2 linked regions of the Yarrowia lipolytica genome follow. The protein of the gene in region 1 interacts with the protein of each later gene in a pairwise test. Links are inferred from orthologs where the notes say so. Each region holds a gene or a part of one and is shown on either strand. Other genes may lie near its edges.

Region 1 (3,445 bases):
TACATGGGTCTGTACTTTTCAACCCAGGGCAGCTCGAACTCGGGCTCTCCCTTTCGCTTTTTCGATGGTCCGGCTTCACTCATGTTGTGTAATATTAGTGTGTGCTGTGATGTGTCGTGTTGGACGTGATTTTTTAGCACTTGATTACTGTAATTTCGGCAGACGTGTATTAATTGAGTTCGCGATGCACGAGGGTTTGTAGGGTAGTTGGAGTGCTGGATACAATCAGGTTTCGCTAATAAATTGTCGCTGGAAGATAATAGGAAATGATTAATTTGACAGCGGAAAATATACTGCTCTTTTCAAATTTGGTTCTAGTAAAAAAAAGTGGCACTGTTTGGCCGACACTTGTGGTGCTTGTTCTGTTAGTCTAGTTCAGTTGTTTGTTGAGTGAAGTCAACTAATTGAATATACCGCTGCAGCTTCCTCGATGGTCATACAGTAGTAATTATTACACTCCACTCTGCGCAATGATGACACACAGAAACACCAACCACTATCCACAATCACATCATTCTATCATCTCTCAATTATTCATACAAATACATTTCATTAACTGCTTCTATACATATGAGCCCTGGCTCCAGTTGATGTGTATTGTGGGACCAGAGGTGCGGACAACTGTTCGATCTGCGCCATCTGGTGACATGATTAGATGTAAAACCTCCGAACAGACCATTCGCCCCGCTCGTGTTCCGGGCAATTATCACTCGCTTCGTTTATGATTAAATCACCTCGACAACCTCATCATCAGAGTCAACCTCCTTCACCTTGGCATCATCTCCAGCCTCCTTGGGCTCGTCCCGCATGAGCATCTGCACAACTCGGTCGCATCGCTCCTGGATGGTCTGGTCGTCGTGGTTCTTATGCAGCTCTCGAACAATAGGGTAGACGGATTTGGTTCGCATGTACTCTCGCATCTCCCGCGAAGTGGTCAGCAGCAGCAGAGACTCCAGATGAGTGCACATGATGTCGAGATCCTCCTCTCGTCGCTTGTCGGGCGTCAGCAGCTGCAGCTCTTCGGGCAGATCAAAGATCTCTTCGGGGTCCTCTAGGTCCTCAGGGCCCGCCAGGGGCAGCATGATGAAGGGCAGCAGGTTGATTTCGGGGTCAAGCACAAACTTGGAGTGCTTGTCGGTGTCAAACAGCGAGTTTTTGATTGTAGAAGCAACACCTTCTCGTCGGATTCGCGAGTCCACAAACTCGGTGAAGGGCAGCAGCTTCTGGATGGGGAACAGACCATCGTAGGGCTGCTCAGTGACAAAGTAGTCTCGACCTCGTCGGAATCGCGACAGATCGGCAAAGAAAAAGGCCAGGTAGTCGAAGTTGGAGAAGAGGTTGAGCTTGCCGGTAGCGCCCTTGACAAAGCAGTCCATGAGCGAATCGATGAGCTTTTCCGACTTGAACACCTCCGTGTTCTTGAGCTTCTTGGTGGCGTCGAAGATGGACACAATGTGGTCGTCCTTGGCCAGGTTGGCTAGCAGCATACAGCACAGATCGGCCTGCTTGTTCTCGAGATCGCAAATCTCGCAGGCAATCATGGCTACGAACATGGAGTTGGACGCCAGCATGTCGAGAATGTCTCTGTCATCGCATAGGTTGATGAGAATGGTCAGAGCGTTCTCCACATTGACTCTGGGGGTGCCCAGCATGACGGTGGCCACCAGATCCTTGACTCCCTGGTAGTCGTTGGCCTTGAACTGCTCGGCATGGCCCTGTGAGTAGCCCACGAGGGACTGTAGAGCAACCTGCTTGACGGCAGGGTGGTCGGAGTGCAGAAATTCGATTAGTTCTTGGAATTCGGAAGACATTGTGTGTGTTGTAGTTGTCTGGAAAACTTGGATTTATCGCAGTCTAATTTTGAAAATATATTTTTTGGGTTCATGGCACGTGACCCGGAAGGAGAAGGTAGTGTCAATAAATACGTTAATATGAATCCTATTGAGTGGGTGAAAACTTGAATCAAGTCTAAGGAGTCGCATGGACGTTTTGAAGTTGCCAATTACCAGATTTGAACTACGGAAGGCTTCGATACCAACACCCAAATATCTCCCCTCGCTAACTGATCAGAGTTTTGATGCCTGACCTGCATGGGTGGCAATGGTGGAAATAGATGGAATTTCTTGGAATTTTGTATTATCGCCTACGGATTGAAAAATGAGACAGCAGGAAGTGTTGCAGACTGGTAACGAACTCATCCCATGACTAGTATTGTCTCTATATGTGTTTGTCGTCTGACAAAAGTTTTTTTTTTTTTTTCTGCATATACATTCATTTAATTATAACTTTGCTGTGAAAGAATAACAAAAGAAGGCAGTTTGAGAGTCATTTGTTAAGTAATTACTTGAGACATTTACCGAAGTATAATTGGCGATTTAATTGAACATGGAAGTTGATATAGTCTCAGAGAAGCTGTATGTACTGGGGATAGGAGCAGGGGTGGGGGCGGTGGCACCTTTTATACCTGTATATCACACCCCCTAAATTCACTGCAACACCTATATCTAAACTCCGGGGAACATGGATCTACGTACATATCGTTTTCGTTGAGCGGGGGTGTCAGACGCATGTAGGCTGATAAGGGCGTGGAAAGTTTCCTGAATGAGAGCACCCCTCCGAGAAGAAGAGAGCAATTGTAGGCAATTATCGACCGAAAACCCACATAGGATGAAAAGCAGCCGTTGCGTAACGGGGTATTTAAACGTTCCTTATCTGTTTCAACTCTTCATATGAGTTCCAAGCCGCTCCACCCTCTAGTCTTCCCCCACCTTGCGCGTCGCATATTAAACTCCCGCTGCGGCTCGAGTGCGGAGATACCGTATGATAACAAAAGCCAATATATAATGCCTTGGAGTGGCATCGACGGTGTTGGCCAACTATCGTCGACAAAACCTGATTGCAACCTTCACCATGGTTCTCACATTCGAAATTGCTAGAGAGAAGTTCCTCAAGATCAGAGACGATTCCATTGCAGAGCTGGACAAAGTGTTTCCTCCACCCGAGGACTCGAGACATCATGAAGTTCCCGCAAAGTTGCCCAAGAACTCCATCCCCGTGTTCCAGGAGATGCTGGCCCATGACGATGCAGCTATCATCAATTCGGACCCAATCGAGCTGCTCGATCAGCTTGCTAAGGCCAAGGTATCGGCTGTGGCTGTCGCAGGAGCGTTCCTAAGAGCTGCTGTTATTGCCCAGACTCTCACAAACTGCCTGACGGAGCTGCTTCCTCGAGAGGCACTGGAAACTGCTCAGAAACTTGATGACTATCTAAAATCCACAGGAAAGCCCGTGGGTCCTCTACATGGACTTCCCGTGTCCGTCAAGGAGATGGTGGGCTTCAAAGGCCGAACCTGCCACTTTTCCGTGTCTTCCAAGATCAACAACATCACTCCGGACAATGCTATCATCCTTAAAGTACTCTACAAAGCCGGAGCTAACCCTTACT
Region 2 (3,837 bases), about 300 kb from region 1:
TTCATCAAGTGGTGGTGAAGCGTTCAATGTGACGGCGCGTTGAGTGACGGGAGAGTGAGAGCACCGGCCGAGTTGCGCCAAGCTCGTACCCTCGCGTGTCAACCGGATCAAACCTCCCCATGATGCCCTAGTCTCGCACCGGACGGGACTACGATACTCCTTCTCCGGATCCAGCCACACCAAAGATTGTCCAAGGGGCTCGAATCGTATGTACAAGACGAGTGCAAGTACGAGGGTTCATCTTCGAGACAATCTCTGTGCAAATCCAACCTAAAGCTGTGAAGGGGGTGAAGGAGATGAGGTGAAGGAGAGGACGGCTACGAGAGGACGGCTACGAGAGGACGGCTACGAGAGGACGGCTACGAGAGGACGGCTACGAGAGGACGGCTACGAGATCAGCCCAGAAAGATCTATCCTACATCGACCTCCCTCGCAATCACCCCTCAAACTCCACCTACTCCCCAACTCTGATGGCGATCGGCACGTGTCTCCCTCCACTTGTGAAGAACATTCTGAAGCGACCCTGCAGCTAAAGCAGCCAGAGACAATCCACAAGTACATGATGGACGCGTCCAACTCCCTCCCAAAAACGCCTCTGCTGGCCCACATTCCTCAACCCAGCTCCACAAGTATCCTACATGTGCTGCAACGCCAGATGTATCATGTATCCGCGACACATGTTCACTGCAAACTCTGCATGCTGGACCCAAGATTCGCGCTCATTGTGTGTCCAGGGGTCGTGTCGATCAGAAGCCTGTCAGGGACCCCTGAGGGAGCGGCGAGCAGCGAGCGGCGAGAGACAACGGGCGACACGATACATACTCGAACTGGCACTGTTGGCATACTCGGACTGGAACTGTTGGCATACTCGGACTGGAACTGTTGCCTTCACCGCCCAACCGAACCTCCGCCGTTTTTCGCTTGTTTCACCCATCCTCAACCCTAACCCACAACCTCCTGTTTGGCGGTTGCCTCTTTGGGAATCGCACACAAACAGACTGCCAAACAAAAGCGTCGACGACCCGACGGCCGGGTAATGTCTTTTTAAAATTTTCACACCTCCCAAATTTACCCTACCCGATTAACCTTTTTCACCCAGTTACCCTACCGACAACCACTATATAGGCGGGTGCACCACCCGTGATTTCTACCTCCCCAACAACGGAGGTCGACATCGACGTACATGGCTCTTGCCTTTTACCAGAGCCATCCGGGTGTCGTCTCTACAAGTTGTTTTTCTAGTTTTTGGAAACTTCTTCTTATGGAGACAAGTGCGACTTACTCTTGGTGGATTCGTTCTCTTTTTAGGGACTTCATTGTTGCTGGCGACTTGGTCGTGGGTACCAAGGAATTCCTACGGAGGGAATGTTTACGGTTGTATATCAATAGTGAATGATGACGGTTGTATTAATTTTAGACGTTGACGGGTATTTTTATTAGAACTTTTGGTGGCACTGCGGATGTTTATTGATTTTTTTTTATTTTTTATTTTTTATTTTTTACTTTTTTATTTATTTTCGCAACTTGAGCTTTTGGAGTAATGAGGGGATATGAGTAGTAACCTAAATGCTCTGAATGGCCGAAGCAAAAACGAGCACTCCTCCTGTACTATATATATATTATACTCATTTTTTTTATATTTATTTTTTTTTTATATTTTTAAAAAAAGTTTTTTTTTTATTTCATTTATTTCATTTTTTTTATTACAATTTTTATTTCATTTTTATTTTATTTTATTTTTTATTTTTATTTTTATTTTTATTTTATTTTTTTTCATTTTTATTTCATTCTTATTCCATTTATTTCATTTCTTATTTCATTTATTCCATTTATTTCATTTATATTTTTATTTCTTTCATTTTTTATTTAATATTTCTATTTATATATTTTATTTTCCGTCGAATTCTGAACAAAACCCAAACCCCTTTTTACTTTCTACCAGCCGATTCTGGATTCTCCCATGCGATAAGATTCAAACATGCATATCTTGTAAAAATTGTGTAGGAATTCTGATCTCAACCAACACGGTGCCAAAATGCCCCCCAAAAGCTCCCAGATTGAAGAAATCATTGACGACGCCCCGGGGTCGCCCACAGCCACACCTCCGGCGGTCGAAAGCACGCGGGAAAGCCGCCCGCCCGCAGGATGGGACACCCACCGGTACGCCCCAGGACCCAATGACCCCAAACTGCCGCCGCAATTATCCGAGTACTCGACGGCGACGACCGACGAGTTTCTCAAGAACATGAACAAGGTGCCGTTTTTCATGCGGGAGCTCGACGAGAGCGGCGAGGACGGCGGAGCCAACGACCACCTGGAGGCTCTCAAGGCTCTGGCGTACGAAGGCGAGCCCGACGAGGTGGCCACCAACTTCAAGAACCAGGGCAACGAAGCGTACAAGGAGAAGCGGTACGGCGACGCGCTGCAGTTCTACGACAAGGCGCTGGAGGTCAAGTGTGGAGTGGTGGCCATTGACACCGCCTGCTACATCAACAAGGCGGCGTGCAATCTGGAGCTCCGCAACTACCGACGATGCATCAACGACTGCAAGGCGGCGCTGATTCTGGATCCCAAGAACCAGAAGGCCATTTTCCGGTCGTGCACGGCATTTTTGGCGGTCGGGCGGGCCCAGGAAGCCCTCGAGCTGTGCGACTACGCAAAGTCTTGCGAGGTGTTCAATGATGCCATGAAAAACATTGAAACTGCCGCCAAAAAGAAGCTGGCCGACAACATTGCTCGGGAAAAGCGAGAGCTCGCACGAAAGGAGATTGCCGAGGCTACAGAGAAGAATCTGGAGCTCGCCATCAAGGTGCGAAAGATCCTGCAAATCACCACCAAGGCGCCTCCTGCTCTGCCTGACGGCGTTTCCATCCATCTCGAGGACCCTCTGGACCCCACCTCCACTCTTCTTGTGCCTGTGTTGCTGCTGTATCCCTGTGATCTTCAGTCAGACTTTCTGGCCGAGGTCGATATCGGCTCCACTCCGGGCCAGGCGCTCAACACCGTGTTTGAGCATCCGCCCATGTGGTTCTCCGGCGACCACGTGGCCCAGTACGACGTCAAGAACCTCGAGGTGTTTGTGCAGACTGAGTCTGGAGGTCTGGTCAAGATTGGAAAGAAGGTGTCGTTTGAGAGCGTGCTGTCTGCGCCCAAGCCAAAGGTGCCGCTCATTGACAATGTCATCACTCTGCATTGCGTGCCTAAGGAGAAGCGGGAGCAGTGGCTGAAGACGTGGAGCAAGGACAAGGCTCAGAAGGAGATGATTTAGGTGGAGCGAGCGGTGTCTCGGCAGAGACTCGACAGAGACTCGACAGAGGAGAGCGATATCTCCACAGAGGAAAGCGATATCTCCACAGAGGAAGCGATATTCGAACGACACTGGATCTGCTCATGCAAAGGACCCGTCTAACGGCAGACCGGCTCAATGGCAGACGTGACATGTTACAGGGTAGCACTGGAAGGATAGGTATATAGAGCAAATGGAAGGAGTGCTATTAACGCCGACCCCATCTTGTAGACAGTTGCCGGAGATGGAACAATCCACCTGGTGAAACAGACTATGGAAAACGCGACTCCATTGCCACAAGTAGTGCACGAGAATCGCCAGGCTCTTCTTGACTACAGTCTGTGGGATAGGTAGCCTCTGGTTGCGGTTTCAGGAGTGTAGAGAAGTGGTCGGACTCTCCAACCAGCAGTTTGAGATTCAGTCATTCCAGTTTCTCTTCAGACATGTCACGAACGAAAGCCCGGTTCCCTCTCTTGGACCTTGGACTCTTGGACTCTTGGACATGGCGTTTAGGACCATTGAAGGCTCCTCACATACAGACTAGACCTGAA

Evidence for each region.
Region 2: the proteins of YALI1_F10671g (region 1) and YALI1_F13719g interact in binary tests that used the Saccharomyces cerevisiae proteins (3 or more experiments, as listed by UniProt). The link is inferred for Yarrowia lipolytica from reciprocal best matches to the Saccharomyces cerevisiae genes HGH1 and CNS1.

What each region holds. Positions count from the first base shown.
Region 1 is NC_090775.1:1,065,517-1,068,961, reverse strand, and holds YALI1_F10671g (uncharacterized protein), read right to left. Parts: upstream 1,812-3,445; coding exon 726-1,811; downstream 1-725. Other genes in the region: YALI1_F10688g (uncharacterized protein), read right to left, coding at 1-83; YALI1_F10660g (uncharacterized protein), read left to right, coding at 2,911-3,445.
Region 2 is NC_090775.1:1,369,923-1,373,759, forward strand, and holds YALI1_F13719g (uncharacterized protein), read left to right. Parts: upstream 1-2,035; coding exon 2,036-3,268; downstream 3,269-3,837. UniProt on the Saccharomyces cerevisiae protein: Co-chaperone that binds to the molecular chaperones Hsp90 (HSC82 and HSP82) and Hsp70 (SSA1). Stimulates SSA1 ATPase activity, but not Hsp90 ATPase activity. Involved in only a subset of Hsp90 functions.